Oryzias latipes: one gene and its partners. The protein of the gene in region 1 purifies or fractionates together with the protein of each later gene. This does not show direct contact. Links are inferred from orthologs where the notes say so. Each region holds a gene or a part of one and is shown on either strand. Other genes may lie near its edges.

Region 1 (4,287 bases):
TCCCCAAAAATGAGAACAAATACTTTTGACGAAAGGGAGCAAGCGTTCATCCAGATACCCCACTGGCCCGGAGTGTGATCAAACGAGCAGCAGTGTGACCATAGGAGTGAGAATGCGTGCGTACCGCTGAAGGGCTGGTCCAGTCCTGCGTTCAATAGCCTGCAGATCTTTTTACATTGAAAATGACTCCAGAGACACAGATAGTTTTATTTCTTTTAAAGAACGTATCGCATTTTTTGACCAATGTGTGAAATGTCTAAGAATCTGAATTTAAATGTATTAAAGTGCTCATTTTAACACTAAATGGCTCCAGTGTTGAATTGCTCATGATTTTTTTTAACCATTTGATATTACTGAAATGTACACAGGATCTTTGAACTTCACATACAAAATGGGGATGAGGATTATGTTATTATTTTATCTGATGTAACTATTTATTTCCCCTCGGTTTGATGTACTTGTCTTTATTATTATTATTCATATGTATATTATTAGTACAGTCAGCATACCATAAAAAACAATATAAACTCAAACAAACCATGACTTTGATAAATATTAAGTGTTTTCAATGCTTTCATATGGTTAATATAATATATACTGTATATAGTATATATATATATATTTATATATATATATATATATATATATAAATATATATATATATATATATATATAAATAGTGTGCAAACCTGGGTTTCTGGTTACTGTTTTTACACTTGTGAATGTGATGTTTTTCTATTATGGCCAATAATTTATAATTATAATTTAATTATACTTGTCATTAAGTCTTTATTTTATTTTTTTATTGAACTTCAAACAAACATATACACATAACTACAACAGAAATAAATAAAAAAAGAATAATATACAAAATAAAATAAAACTAAAGAAACAAAATAAAAATTGTAGTTTACAATACTAGTGATTGTCATAAAACATGTGATCTTCAATGAAAATAGACAATTTTATTCCATTTTTGTTTTTTATTAATTTCAGAGATTGAAAATATAAACTGATCTCTTTATGAAATGTATTGAATAATGGTTTGATTTTTGAAAATCTGCTCTTATGAATGAAAAATGTCCCAGATATTAATAAGGTATTGAATGTCAAATCAAATAGATTATCACCAGAAACAATCCAAATAATATCTGCTTTTGTAATTGAATAGAAATAGGAAAAGGAAAATTTGAGGAACCAAGAAAAAAAATCCTCCCAAAAACTGTAAACGTATGAATACAAAGAACAGATGATCAAGTGATTCTATATTTATGTCACAGAGAGAACAGTTATTCTCTGGTAAACCAAAACATGTATGTAATAATTCCTTGCATGGATAGACTGCATTCAGTATTTTAAAATGGATTTCTTTGTATTTTGGAAAAATGGGATATTTAATAAACTGAGATCTTAACTTGATTATTTCTTCTTTTGTGTAAAGCTGTGACATAGAATGATTTTTGTAAGATGTTGGAAACAAACAAAGATCCTATAAATGAGTTTGGAAGTTTTAAATGAACCGGTCGACCATCAAACAACAGAGACGGAAGCTGAACTTGAACATTTGGACCAAAGTCGGAAGCTTTGATCACAATGTGGTGTGGCGGTTTATAAAGTCATTCTTGCCGTTTTGCGAGTCTGTTTTTCTTGAGACTTGAACGCAGTTGTGACCTGACGTCATCACGACGACAGGCGGGACTACGTCATGTGACGTGTACTTCCGGTCCGTCAATGAAGCTCTGGCTAACAGGAGCGGCTCTCTGCAGTTCAGGATGATAAAGACGGAGAGGATTCTACATCTGAGGAGGTTCCGCGGGAGGAAGGTTCGAGTGGTTCGGGAGCATTACCTCAGAGAGCGGGTCCCCTGTTTCAGCTCCCTATGCCAGGCGGACTGTGCTAACGGTAGTCCTCCGAACCGAACACGAGCGCCAAACCCAAACACGAACACACACCGAACTCAACACGAGCACCGAACCCAAACACGAACACACACCGAACCCAAACACGAACACCGAACCCGAACCCAACACGAGCACCGAACCCAAACAAGAGCGCCGAACCCAAACACGAACAGACGCACCGAACTCAACACGAGCACCGAACCCAAACACGAACACACACCGAACCCAAACACGAACACCGAACCCGAACCCAACACGAGCACCGAACCCAAACAAGAGCGCCGAACCCAAACACGAACACACACCGAACTCAACACGAGCACCGAACCCAACACGAGCGCCAAACACGAACACACACCGAACTCAACACGAGCACCGAACCCAAACACGAACACCGAACCCAACACGAGCACCGAACCCAACACGAACACCGAACCCAACACGAGCACCGAACCCAAACAAGAGCGCCAAACCCGAACACGAACAGACACACCGAACCCGAGCCTGCTAGTCCGTCTCTGTCAGTGATCGATCCCGCTGAGTAAAAGTTGGCGGGCTCGGAGAAGCTGCCATGACACTGACGATACTTTCAAATAACTGCGGTGAAGTTAGTGTCAGGTTGGATATTCGACAGACGTTCAGCGCGGAGCTCCAGTGGGGTCTCTAAGGGACCGTCAACAAATGAACAAGGCCATGAGATGGAGAAGATTTTAGATCAAACCCAAAACTAAATGCTTTGCAAAGATAAATAAATTACTATAAGACATCTTCTCATGTTGTGTCTAAATAATCTATTTCTTTTGCAACGTTTTAATGGGAAATGTTTTTTCAATCAAAGATGCTCAATATTTGATAAATTCCAGAGGTTTGCATATGTAAGCTGGTCATTTCTTTCAATAGCTCCCAAACCGCCTGACCCAAAGATATAAAACCTATTCCAAATTGTTGTACTGACATTCCAACATCAGACACACCTCTTTCTTTTGTAATCAAAGATGTTATATATTTTTTATGAATTTTTATATAAAAATTCCAGAGGTTTGCATATGAAAGCTGGTCATCTTTTTCAATAGCTCCCAAACCAACTGACCCAAAGATAATTCATATAAAACATATAACATCTTTGATTACAAAACAAAAAGGTGTGTGTCTGATGTTGGAATGTCAGTACAACAATTCGACATTGGTTTTATATCTTTGGGTCAGGCGGTTTGGGAGCTATTGAAGAAACGATTAGATTTTAGATGTGAACAGCTGTAATTTTAAAACAAAAAGTAATGTAAGATTTGTGTCATCTTTAATTCCTAAACAAATTGGCGTTTGATGTCAGAAGAACAATTTGGCAGAGGTTTCATGTTTTTGGGTGATGTGGTTTGGAAGCTATTGAAAAAACTCAACAGAATTTGCGAAATGCAGGAATTTTTGTAAAAATATTTAATAGAATTTCTTTATAAAATGTGTGTATGTTGTATGTTGGAGCCATATTTTTTTTATATATTTGCAATCATAACATCACACAGTTAGGAAGCAATAAAAAAAATCTTTCCTTCAAACAGTTTTCTTATAAAATATTGAGCATCTATGATTGCAAAATTTTTCCCATTAAAAAGTTGCAAAAGAAATAGATTAAGACACAAAATGAGAAAAGGTTTATAGTAATTTATTTATTTTTATTTTTGCAAAGTTAAATTCCTCTCCATCTCATGCAGTCGTTAATTTGTTGACGGTCCCTAAGAGTCCACACTGGACAACCCGCTGAATGTCTGTCGAATATCCAACAACTAACTTCACCGCAGTGGTACTTTAATACATTTGAAACAAATGTATAAAATGTTAATTTATTTAAAGGTTGATGTTATTCGCACGTAAAGTTCAGCACTGGACATATTTCGAAAGTTACGTGTGAACGGACACGTTCTTATTTCAAATAGGAGTAATTTCAACAAATAGTACGCTTTTAATTTTTTGCATGAAAAGTTTTTGACAGAAGATCATCTTTCTATGAAAATAAAACAGAAACGTTCTTCTCAACGAAACAGGTGTCAAAGTTCTGCCTGGAGACTTGACCCACTATGTGATGCCGGACGCAGACGTGGTGGTCGACTACCTGGAGATCCTGGAGCTCAAGGAGCTGCAGGGCATCATCTTCACCCAGACCGCCTGCCAGGCGCTGCACAGCAAGGGCCGCAGGTACAAGCAGGCTACGGGACGCTAGCTACGCCCTTCAGAACGCTAGATACATCCTTTAGGACACTAGCTACACCCTTCAGAACGCTAGATACACCCTTCAGGACGCTAGATACACCCTTCAGGATGCTAGCTACACCCTTCAGGACGCTAGATACACCCTTCAGGATGCTAGATACATCCTTTAGGACGCCAGCTA
Region 2 (4,096 bases), on another chromosome or scaffold:
CTCCATGCCTGGTTCACTTCTCCTCTCTGTTCTGGACTCGCGGTTGCTAGGCGACGGGACATTCGCAGATGCAACGGCTGGAATAATTCAAACGGTTAGGCTCATCCAAATTCACAGCTGTTCACATCCGGCCTATTGTAGTTAATTAAAGGTAGTTTATTGAAGGAAGCAGCCCTCGAATTTGGACACACCATGAATCTCACTAAAGACCCACTTTGATGAAAGTGGTGTTTATAACGTGTTCTTGTAGTGTTTTCTCATGATTGAAGACATAGAAAAAGAAGATTTAGCTAAAAATTGCATTTCTGAGAATTTTTTTTGTAATTAGGAGCTGACAAAATATGCAGTTGGAAAAACCCTTTTAACACGTTACTACGGCAAGCCAGAAGCTCCCAGCTCTGTACAGATCCACGTACGTCTCTATGTCTCACCGGCAATGCTACCTTGGGTTTGAGAGGGGGCTGTAAGCTAGCCAGAGAGCCTGTAAAAAGATTTATGATGGGGAAGGGGGGCGGGGTTACTCCACACCAAAACTCCCGCCCCACAAGACAACTGCAGCCGCTCTGCAGAAACTATGTCCTAGAAAACGATACAGGTTTTGTGATTTTGCCTAAAAAAACATAATTAAAAAGACCACTGCGATCAAAAGATGATCAGAGTTCACGATGCCGTCGAAAGTAGTTGTGTGAGTTAAGACAAACCAATAGAAACACTTGTTTGTCAGCTTAAAATGTTTCTTTAAAGAGCCTGGAAGCCTAAATGTGGGAATATCTTGCCTCCTGCTCAAAATGACGCCCTATTCCGCTGCGTAAAATGTCGTGATGCGTTCATGGTCGGCAGATTTTGAGTAGGACGTTTATTTGGAGAAAAAAAACAAGCTTGAATTAAAATAATAAAAAATAAATTCCGATCAAGTCTGAAACTGTGATTTCCGATCATGTGATCTCCAATTGATAGTTTGAATAGTGAGTTTATGGTCAGGAGTTGGGGATGAATCAGGAGAAGTGGATTATTACCCTTGTTGGAAGAAGGAGAAGCTGACACTAATGGGCATGTGGTAGATGCTAAGAGGAATGGGATCCCTCTCCTCTGGGCTGTACTGAAACGGGAAAAGCAACAATGTAAACCGACAGATGAGAAAACGCCGCCTCCTGCTGGGGCTGCTCCCTCACCACCGTGACCTCCTCTCCCTGGACGGCTACGTCGGGCCGCCTGAAATGGCACAGAGCGGCGATGGCGGCGATGCTGGAGGCGTCCATCAGGTTCCCGTCGTTGTTCAGCATGTGGACATCCACCCTGATCTGCCACACCTGGGCGAACACACGCGTTTCAGAGGAAAGCAGACGTCGCTTTGCGAGTCGCACAGGTTTGTGGGAATGACCTTTTCTCCGGACACCACGCACAGGGACTCCGTGTCGATGCACTTGGAGTTCCTCAGGCATCTTTCCAACTGTCTGTTCAGCTTCACGGACAGCTCCGACTGTCTGGATGTGGCGAAACAACAAAAAATGAGCCACACAGAGACAATCGAGGCACAAAACTATAAGGTCATGTGATCCAAAACCAACCTTCCCTGCTCGAAAGCTGGCGAGGCCAGAGGTGACAGCTCGATGTTAAAAAACATGATTCCCTCATTCGGGCGGCTCTCCTTTGGTGCAACCAGCTCACAAGATACCTGGGCCATGACCCTGAAAACACAAAGCTCCGATGACTGAGCGACATCAAACGCACCACGTCCGGTTTTCCCCACAAAGAGAACCTGGGGCTCACCTGGTTTGTCCCAAATCCACAAAGCAGCAGCCGTAGTCCGTCCCAAAGCTGATCTTGATCTTTCTGTAGTCGTAGGTCTGCCGTCCGTCCAGACGCTGCACGGAAAAAAAGACAACGTGATAGTTTTCCCTTAAACTCTTCCCATCTCACTTTTTCTATTCAGTCACCAGCAGAGAGTGAAGCAGTTAGGCTGGATATGAATATATTAAAAAAAACACAGAAATATATTTTTCTCACATTATAATATCCAGATTGTCACTAAGACGAGCAGCATACGGAACCTTGCAGTGATCAAGGCCACAGAAGTACAAAAATTAATCAATTAAATGCACAGTTTTTGTATTAAAATCAGTAAATCAATCATTGATGCTGCAAAAGTCGCATTTTTCCCTCTTCTCTTGAAGATTTCTAAATTAAACCACCTTCCCGGAGTTTTACCGAACTGTTAAACAACTACGCTTTTAATAAAATGTTGTTGTACACAGTAGTCATCAGGGAACTGTTACCGAGGAACGAAAACAAACCTTTTTCTCCTCGATGGCTTTCAGTATAAAGTCCCGCTCGCAGGCGGACAGCGGTGTTTCTTTCATCGTGTGGATTTCAGGCTGTTTGGAGTTATTTTGAAATGATTAGATTCTTTGAAAACCACGCGGGCACGTTTATGTTTATCCGGTTCTAGGCGCGCATGCGCAGCTGTGTACGTTTTACGACAGTAAAGGCTCGAATATGGTTTGAGTCCAATGCTGGATTAAACATGGTTTTAATGTTAAAAATTATCTTAATTTTGAATTGTAGCATTTTATTTATGGTTTCGTACAAATTCATATTATTTCAAACTAAATAGATGGAAACAGAAGACGCCAGCATCAAATACACAGCAGGTTGAATCAACCAATTATTTGTTTTCACATTAAAGGCAACAATTATTTCAGTACAAGAAATAATTTTGTATTATTTTACAAACCCAAAAATATATCCTTATAATTTATATAAAATATCTGCATTTCCTGCGGTCAGACGAGTGTAAAAAGTGTTTACGACAGTTGCGATCGGTGCTGCGTTGGGGTCAACTTGGAAATTACATTGTTCAAGTTTTTGTCTTCTGCAATATAATTGGTTTTGTATTTTAACTTGACAATTTTTTAAGAATACATTTAATACACGTGCTTAATTAACTGCATAAAAATACTAAAAGAAATGATAAATGTGTATACAAAGAATTTCAATCCCTTGATCTTTGCAAATTCTATTTGGCTGTCAAATTTATTTAATATTAAACATTGAATAAATGTTTGCTGTTTGTTTAGTTTGTCTTAACATAAACATAAGAAATGTAAAGGGGAACTTCTTTTAAGCTCAAGCCATTTTCCCCCAATTAAAGTCCTGTAGACTTGAATTCTAAATACATGTTTTTCTTTTTCTTCCTCTATGAATATAACCTTTGACTAACAATGCATTCAATTTTCTGTATTTACAAATATATACAACCAAAGCTGTGTTCTGTTTATTAAAGAATAAATTATTTTTTATGTATTGTTAAATCAAATATTAACCAATCACACCACATTTTCCTTATATGGCAATTAAAAATAGCCAGTAGTACATCTTAAAAGCTTTTTATGTTCATCGGTCTGAAAAAAAAGGAAACAGATGTGAACAAATCCTTGATGATGTTATTTAAAAAAATTATAACAAGCATGCATAAAAACAAATGAGCGAATGACAGCTTGGGTTCGGATTTTTGGCTTGAGCATTTGAACGCATCAGTCGTGCTTCCCCTTCTGTGTCTACTGCGCACGTCCAGTACCGTTATACGGGCTAACTGTCACTCACGGTCCATCCATCCAGCCGTGTTTCCCCTCCGTTTCTCAAGGGAGACTCCGCTCTTCAACCTCAGATCACTCTTGTGCCCTTCTCCGTAGGGCAGAACACAACAACAACCATTTTCAAATATAATAACGAGCTGCAAGAGAGGACGTAAGGACGGTTTGTGTGCGCACGCTCATTCACTCCACTCCATTCATCATGGGCGCGCGCGCGCGCGCAACGTTGTGGCTAGCAAGCTAGCGTTTGTTTTTCATTCATTCGTGGTCTTCAGATAAAACGTTTTATCTTTTCTGTTGTATCACGTTAAATGTCTGCTGCCTCTTGTTTTGCGTCAGCGCGTGCTTACATCCGTCTTCCGCGCGTGTTCGGGTGTCAGCGAAGCTCGTGTTGCGCTAACTTGTGGCGGTCCTGCTGTGTTAGCTGTAGCCCGCGGAGCAGGTGCTGCGGCCGGGGCAGTTCAGGGACAGTCTGGGCTCTGCGCTGCTCCCCGGCAGCCATG
Region 3 (4,268 bases), on another chromosome or scaffold:
GAAATAGTAGGTGATCAGAAAGACACCGCCAATAAAGGAGTAGTTCTGCAAGTGATGACCACAGACAACTTCTCTGTCCTTATGTTTTCTGGTTGACGGTTTCTACGGTGTCTACAACCCACAGAAGTGGCCCAGGAAGTGCAACTCATCCAGGATGGCACATCAATGCAAGCTGTAGCCAGGTTTGCTGTGTAGAAGTTCCATCAGGAGACAGGCTAGTACATCAGGAGATGTGGAGAAGGCCATAGAAGGGGGGCCAACCCTGCATCAGGACCACTGCCTCCTCCTTTGTGCAAGGAGAAACGGGAAGAGGCCTGCAAAATAACCTCCAGTTGACCACAAATGTGCACGTCTGCTCAGAATGGTAGAAACAGACTCCATGAGGTCGCCAGGTGGGAGTTGTGTTGACAGCCCAAAACCGTGCGAGACATTTGACATTTGCTGTAGAACACCAAGCTTGGCATAGTCACTGTTGACACAGTCTGGAGATGCGGTGGAGAATGCTCTGCTGCCTGCAATATTGTCCAACATGAGCGCTTTGGCAATGGGTCAGGTATGGTTTGGGGCGGCATTTCTTTGGAGTGCCACACAGCCCTCCATGTGCTCACCAGAGGTAGCCTGACTGTCATTAGGTACTGAGATGAGATTCTCTGACCCCTTGTGAGACCGCATGTTGGTGCGATTGGCCCTGGGTTCCTCCTAAAGTAAGACAGTGCTAGGCCTCATGTGGCTGGAGTGTCAGCAGTTTCTGCCAGACGAAGCTAATGATGTCATGGACTGGCCCGCACACTTTCCAGACCTGAATGCAATTGAGCACATCGGGGACATCATGTCTCGTCCATCCACTAACTCCTGGTTGCACCCCAGACTGTCCAGGAGTTAGCAGATGCTTTGGTCCAGGCGTCAGAGAAGATCCCTTGGAGGACCACCCGCTGCCTCATCAGAAGCGTACCCAGGCATTGCAGGGGAATCATATGGGCATGTGGAGGCCACGCCCACTACTGAGCCTCATTTTGACTTGTTTCAAAGAAATTACATTGAAGTTGGATCAGCATGTAATGTTCACACATCCAGACATCCATAGCCGAATAGTTTTAATTTCCATTACTATTTTTATTTTATTGTGTTGTCAGGACATGCAAATATGTAAAGAATGAAGCATTTCAAAAGAATATTTCATTTGTTCAGGCATAGCATGTCTTTTTTAGTGCTCCTAAATCGTTTGAGTTGTGTACGTGTGTGTGGGTGTGTCTGTGTGTTACACTATTGAGACATTTTTATACTACTTTTTGTTTCTGTAGAAAATTATTTTACCTTTTTTCAAAGACGATTATTTTAGAGGAAATTTGGTGAGACCTGGATTTATCCAAAACGTTTTGAAAGGTGTGTCCTTTAAACAGGAAAATTCTTATAATTTAGAAAGCGCTATTGTTCCTCCTGGTCACCAGGGGGCGCAAAGTAAGGATCTGATATAAACAACAAAAAGAAGAAGACGACCATGAGCACGACAGGAGGCATGTTCGCCGTTCTGAAGGAGAAAGTTGGACAGGTTCTGGTTCCGGGGGACGAGTTCTGCTTTGGTGCAGAGGAAACGATCTCTCTGTCGGAGAGCGCGAAGCCGGAGCGCGCGGTGTGTGGACCAGGGCTGCGGCGGAGCGGAGACCGCCTGGTGGTGATGAAGAGCGGCGTGCTGCGGCACAAACCGCCGCTCACCTTCTGGATCGATTCCCAGCAGAAGCGGGTAAGAGCGGACCGGTCCGAACCAAAGGTTCTGAGATCCCAACAAACTGCGTTCAGCGGTCCAGAGACGTGTTTAGAGCATTAATGTGAAGCGGTCCGGTCACAACCAGCATTCAAACACAACTTTATTGATAGCACTTCCTGATGAAATCCACCTCAAGTGCTTTATATAACAAATAGTAAAAATATCAGTTACAAATAACAAAGTATAATCAAATAAAAACCAAATACGCGTCAAGCTAATACATCAAAATAAACTAAATTAATTATTTATCAAATTAAAACATATGGACTGATACAGAGATATGGGTTTTGATTCGATGCACTCAACTAACCAAGAATTTAAAAAAATCCACACATGATCTGCGTATTTTCAATTTAGACCCAGATTATTTATGCAAACACAAGTTTCATTTTTGCAAACTTGTGTTTGCTTAAATAATGTACTTTGTTGTGAATAAATGTGTCCGCGTGCGTTCGTTCCATTGATCCTTAGGACAGTGTTTTTCAACCTTTTTTGAGCCACGGCACACTTTAACCCTGAAAAAAATCCCGCGGCACACCATCATCCAAAAAAAAAAAAAAAAGCAGAAATTCATGGTCTGTATTGATCGACAGCGCCCCCCCCCCCCGCAATCTCACGTGAATTTTTGTGATAATTGTGGCAGAAAAAGCAGGAATTTGCGGCTGTTTTTTTCTAAGAGATGAACCACCAGCTAAAGCTCGTCTTTAGCTGGTATATTTGTTAGAACTGAGCGACTTTATCAGCAGAATTAAGAACAAGGAAGTGAAGACTTTAAGCACTTCTGATTGGTCAGACTGATGACATGTGATTAAGCCTTCAAGAATGATTGGCGGAGACAGTTAAAGGGGCGGGACTTTTCCTTACACAGTTAGAGCTGCAGCTAAATCGCGGTACCGTGATTTTTATCAAAATCTCTTTAATAGAATTAAATAAACACAAAGAAAAAGTAATTTTAAGATCTTTTATATTCCTAACTACTCAGTGTTTTATCAGGGCCTGTTTGGATGAACACAGAGCTGAAATCCTGGAGATGGAAAATGTTTTTAGATCAGTTAATGAGGGCAATTTCTCCACGGCGCACTTGACCATCTCCCACGGCACACTAGTGTGCCGCGGCACACTGGTTGAAAAACACTGCCTTAGGAGAATCGTAGTGTGACGTCACCCATACAAATGGCTTACTGGCTCAAAGATGAAACAAACAGAGATGCTTGTCCTCCCCGAGCAGCAGCAGGTGAGCAGCAGAGTAGAGAACCGCCCCGTGTACTGATGATGGGTTGGTTGGCAGTGAAACATCTCTAAAGTCGGATCTTGGCGTTTACTATATTATTTCACCCATTTTGACTTAATTATTCTCTGTGCTGCACATGACTGCGTCTCTGGTCAGCGTGAGTTGGCGCTCAATGCACTCTGCAGGTGGGTGCTGGGGTGGTGTTGGTCCAGTAGACCTGCAGCTGCTCAGAACTGCACAAACGCCAGACGTATAGAGAGAGAGACAGGCACAACTCATTGTCATGGAATACCTTAAGTCAGAGAAAATGAACATGGAGGCATTAAATAATTCTTTGTGTTTTTAAAAGAGTGGATTCGACAGATGTGATCATAGGCGTAACTGATTTGTTTCCACATCTCACTTTGAGCAGTGGCCTATAGACCACATGTGTTGTAACTTTTTTGTGTATTTTTTCACATTGTTGTCTGAATTCTAATAAAACCAGGTTATGTCTTGAGCCAGGTTCAAATTTGCACAAGGTCATTTCTCTGAATATAAAGTTATATGAATGACAAGAGGATCTTGTTTGTGAAAACTGTTTTTTGCCTTGAGAATCTGTATGTGAGAGGAAAAAAAGTGGAGTAACCGGTAGGCAATTACCGTACTAAATAGGTGAGTAAAGTAATTTAATTACAATTTTGTAACACTAAGTAAACAGTTACTTTTTAGAAGTCATTTTCCCAACACTGATGCCAATATGACGTCACCCGTTTCCCTAAATAGAAAGGTAATAAATATGAACATTTTATGACGACTTTATGAATCTACTGTGTTCTGATGATGAAAACCTAATGGTTTATAAAAAATAGTGGCCAATCAGGAGTGAGCTTGTTTGAAGGTCACACCCCTATCACTTGAAAGCAGGCTACATAAAATCTGTCAAATGTTTCACACATTCAATGTGAGAAGTTATGTCAATGGGATTTTGGCTTCTTGGAGCCAGCGGGTTCTTCCTGTTTGGAGCATGAGGAGGGAGGGGTCCTTCAGTCCAGTTCTCGAATAGTCAATGGTTTGTTCTCCTCAGTATGTCGCCACTAAAGGGGAGACCGTGATCGGGATCGTGACGGCCCGAGCAGGAGACACCTTCAGGGTGGACTTTGGCGGCAGCGAGCTGGCGTCTCTGTCTTACCTGGCGTTTGAAGGAGCCACCAAGCGAAACCGACCCAACGTCCAGGTGAGTGTGGGTGGGGCTCTGTGTGCAGTCTGCTGTGTGCAGTCACTCCAAGGAGC
Region 4 (3,716 bases), on another chromosome or scaffold:
ATATAATCTTGTTATTGTTGAGCTCATTGCATTATACGTATATGCATTGTTTCATATATGTTTTTATTTATACACATTAGAGATGCTAATAAATTTTATTTTTAAAACTCTTGAGGTTTGAGTTGTACTCCTTTTCTTAGGCTTCATCTTTTCATCTTCATCTTCATACCTTTATCGATGGAAAGGATTTTGATGTTAAATGCGATATTAAAGCAAATCTAAAGGTAAAAAGACAACAAATGAAGCAACAAACAGAATGAAGAGATGGAAGATGAGGCTGGAATGTCGTCTGAGATCTGATAAAAGCTTTAAAGTGAAATGCTGGCAGGCAGTTTGTGTGACTGAAATATTAACAAAGCAGGCCAAAATGTAGTCAATTTAAACACGTTTTAAAAGGTGAAAAGCTTTACTCTGTAATCAATTTAAAAACACACAAAAAACTTATTTTAAATATGGCATTACAAGGTAAGTCTACTTCATATTTGTAAATTATCAAATGCTTTAACACAAATTTTTTTTTAAATATGAAAAAGTGAAAGATGTTGATCTGATTTAAAATGATCACGAACGATTGGCGCTCAAAAATATTAAAATTAAACTAGAAAAATAAATGACAATAGAATTGAATCCTTTTTAACATCAGAAATGAAAATATATCTTCTGTATAATTTACAAAAATGCTAAAACATTTTATTTAAAAAGATTAACACTGGATTTACTTTTTAAAATTTGAAAACCAAGATGTTTTGGAAAAATAAATATACTTTGACTTGGGTTCTGATTTCAGACAGAAGATAAAACAAACTGCAGCGCCTGTAAAACTTGTCAAGATGTCAGGGGCAAAAATTAATAAAATAAAAGAAAATGAGAAAATCTGCAGGTGTCCTTTAAAGAATTCTTATAGTAATTTCAGAAAATGTTGCTGTACTCTAATATCAAAATTCTATATTTAAAGACAGTATTTTAAAATTGACATTCCCAAGAAAAAACAATAGTTATTAAAATCATGATTAATCTTTATCAGATTATGTCAATACTCTGACATTAAATGAAGTGTTTATTGTGTTGAAAATATTTATAAATCTGAATTCCTAAAACTTAAAATGCTTAAAGTCTTATTTTATCTTGTAATTTTAAATTAAAAATCGGAGTCGTGAGATTAAAGTCAGAATTCTTAAATGTAAAAACTGCATGCCGTGTGTAATTTCTCAGCTCCTGATTTTAATTTATTTTATTAATTAGTTTTGACTCGCGTACTAGTAGTTCCGCATTTATCTACTTCTTTTGTTCTGACGTATCAGTTAGATTTAAAAATAATATAAAATAAGAAAAAAGGCTTTCTAAATGTTTCGTTAGGCTACTTTTCCAGTAAGAAGTTGTTACTAAACCATCTAAGTAAAATAAATATGGAAATCTTTTTTGCGACACTTTCTTCCGACGTTGCTGTAACTGCTCGAAGAGGATGATGGTTAATGTAGTACATCAGTAGACACGTGTGTTGTCGTGTAGTTAAGCTAGGGAAAATGGCGGGTCTGGAGCTGCTGTCTGATCAAGGATACCGGTTGGATGGAAGAAAAGCTACCGAGCTGCGCAAAGTCCAGGCCCGCATGGGGGTGTTCGCTCAGGCCGACGGTTCCGCGTATCTGGAGCAAGGAAACACCAAAGCTCTGGCGGTGGTTTACGGCCCGCATGAAGTGAGTGGCGCGCGCGCGTGGAGAAGTGACGTAAAAACAACACCACCAGTCTGTTCATGGCAGCCAAAGAAACGGTGCAAACTGCGTTTAATGAAGGATTAAGATATTTCTATGTAATGTGTCAGATTTAAAGGGATATTTTACATTAATGTAATGATTTTAGTATAATACGTTTCCTTCAAAGCATTTTATTGTATCAGTAACACAAAATGTTTACTTATCTGGCTCGGTCACACAGTACTTACTAACAACTGCATTCAAGAGTTTTTGAACTTGTTATGCTATTCTGAGGTAAACTTACTGCTTTTGAATCTTTGACTTGCTGAGAAATCCAAGTTAATTTGAGGATTTGTTGGTTAATTTATTCATTTACCAAAAGTATTCCAAGCCCCAAATATAACAGCCCCTTACCATGACACCATTACCACCATGTTTGACTGTTTGTGCAATGTTTTACACTAGAGTGATGCGAGGCACATCACCCAAAATGTTTCACGGTTATCTTTTCTGTCCTGAAAGTCTTTCCTAAATCTTGTAGAACATCGATATTTCTGATGGAAAACCTGAGATGTTGTTTTTGCTCATCTGTGCCGTTGACCTCAAACTCTCCCATGTCTGGCGTTTTTATTGTCTGGTTTACCTCTGATGATGGATTAAAAAGCTGTTTTACTCAAAGGACAGATGTATGCCGCCCTGTGAAAAATGTCAGACCTTTTTTATGGTTCTCCTATGCTTACTTCCTGTTTCCCATTCAGATTCGAGGTGCTCGTAGTCGGGCTCTTCATGACAGAGCCATTATCAACTGCCAGTACAGCATGGCCACCTTCAGCACGGCGGAGAGGAAGAGGAGACCGCACGGAGACCGCAAGTCCACAGAAATGAGCCTTCACCTCAAGCAAACGTTTGAAGCTGCCGTGCTGACCCAGCTCTACCCACGCTCCCAGATAGACATCTATGTCAAGGTTGGCCTTAGATTTATAGTATACTGCGCTCTACTTCATAGCATCTGTTTTCGTCATTGTTTTAAGAACGTTTTCATCATTCAAGATTCTTCAGTCCGACGGGGGGAACTACAGCGTTTGTGTGAACGCCGCCACACTGGCAGTGATCGACGCAGGGATACCGATGAGGGACTATGTGTGCGCCTGCACAGTGGGCTTCGTGGATGAAACCTCTCTTGCCGATCTTTGCTACGCAGAGGAGAGCGGAGGAGTGAGCTCTCTGGCTTTGGCGCTTCTGCCCCGCGGAGGGCAGATCGCTCTGGTCCAGATGGATGCCAGACTGCATCAGGATCACCTCGACACTCTGATTGAGGCGGCAATGACCGCTTGTAAAGGTGTGAGCAAAGTCCTGGACCAGGTGGTCAGGCAACATCTCCAAGAAGGTTCTACGCTCAGAGAATAATGGTGAAGGAAAGAGTAAACAAATGGTTTCCTGGGATCAACACTTATTTTGTCGTCATTCTTAACATTTTATTAAGTATATTTGTGCATAAAGAATAAATGTGAATGTATATCGTTTCTTTGTATTTGCATTTGTTTTATTAGCTGAAAACTGACCTGTTTTTGATGCAAAAATCAATGTGATCAACTGAAACAGCAACATCAGCATTTTATATATAAACAGATAATAAAGCTTTGTTTTCAGACTGATACAATAAGAACCTTTATTTTAAACCACACATCCGTAAGAGTAAACAATTTGTGAAAAATTAGATAATTCTTATATCCAATTTATTTAGCTGTGTTGATATCTTACAAATTTTCACCAAAACAATACTTTTTATTCCTGAATGAAATGCTCTGTTCATGTGTTTAGTCTTTTTTTTTTAGATTAATTTTCTTTGATTTGTTTTGCAGACAGGCTATTCTGCTTTTGCTTTTGTTTGTTGTAAAAGTAATTTTTATGTCACAATACAATACATGTTTTGTAAGAGTTTCAGTCCGTTGAGGCTGAATAATCTATCATTTTCTTTACCTGCTGAAACAAAATTGGTATTAATGTAACTTACTTTTTAAAGTA

Evidence for each region. Proteins that work in one complex are often made in the same cells at the same time.
Region 2: the proteins of dis3l (region 1) and exosc9 purify together in Homo sapiens (affinity purification with mass spectrometry; 3 studies listed by BioGRID and IntAct, with this or other methods). This does not show direct contact. The link is inferred for Oryzias latipes from reciprocal best matches to the Homo sapiens genes DIS3L and EXOSC9.
Region 3: the proteins of dis3l (region 1) and exosc3 purify together in Homo sapiens (affinity purification with mass spectrometry; 6 studies listed by BioGRID and IntAct, counting the BioPlex papers as one, with this or other methods). This does not show direct contact. The link is inferred for Oryzias latipes from reciprocal best matches to the Homo sapiens genes DIS3L and EXOSC3.
Region 4: the proteins of dis3l (region 1) and exosc4 purify together in Homo sapiens (affinity purification with mass spectrometry; 5 studies listed by BioGRID and IntAct, with this or other methods). This does not show direct contact. The link is inferred for Oryzias latipes from reciprocal best matches to the Homo sapiens genes DIS3L and EXOSC4.

Annotation. Positions count from the first base shown.
Region 1 is NC_019861.2:569,733-574,019, forward strand, and holds the start of dis3l (DIS3-like exonuclease 1), read left to right. Parts: upstream 1-1,484; 5' UTR 1,485-1,772; coding exon 1,773-1,902; intron 1,903-3,940; coding exon 3,941-4,091; intron 4,092-4,287. UniProt on the Homo sapiens protein: Catalytic component of the RNA exosome complex which has 3'->5' exoribonuclease activity and participates in a multitude of cellular RNA processing and degradation events.
Region 2 is NC_019859.2:5,412,188-5,416,283, forward strand, and holds the start of exosc9 (exosome complex component RRP45), read right to left. Parts: upstream 2,803-4,096; 5' UTR 2,361-2,802; coding exon 2,295-2,360; intron 1,866-2,294; coding exon 1,771-1,865; intron 1,689-1,770; coding exon 1,569-1,688; intron 1,485-1,568; coding exon 1,382-1,484; intron 1,311-1,381; coding exon 1,173-1,310; intron 1,100-1,172; coding exon 1,017-1,099; intron 1-1,016. UniProt on the Homo sapiens protein: Non-catalytic component of the RNA exosome complex which has 3'->5' exoribonuclease activity and participates in a multitude of cellular RNA processing and degradation events.
Region 3 is NC_019868.2:3,163,413-3,167,680, forward strand, and holds the start of exosc3 (exosome complex component RRP40), read left to right. Parts: upstream 1-1,466; 5' UTR 1,467-1,498; coding exon 1,499-1,741; intron 1,742-4,062; coding exon 4,063-4,212; intron 4,213-4,268. UniProt on the Homo sapiens protein: Non-catalytic component of the RNA exosome complex which has 3'->5' exoribonuclease activity and participates in a multitude of cellular RNA processing and degradation events.
Region 4 is NC_019875.2:26,759,986-26,763,701, reverse strand, and holds exosc4 (exosome complex component RRP41), read left to right. Parts: upstream 1-1,459; 5' UTR 1,460-1,523; coding exon 1,524-1,694; intron 1,695-2,449; coding exon 2,450-2,656; intron 2,657-2,741; coding exon 2,742-3,098; 3' UTR 3,099-3,214; downstream 3,215-3,716. UniProt on the Homo sapiens protein: Non-catalytic component of the RNA exosome complex which has 3'->5' exoribonuclease activity and participates in a multitude of cellular RNA processing and degradation events.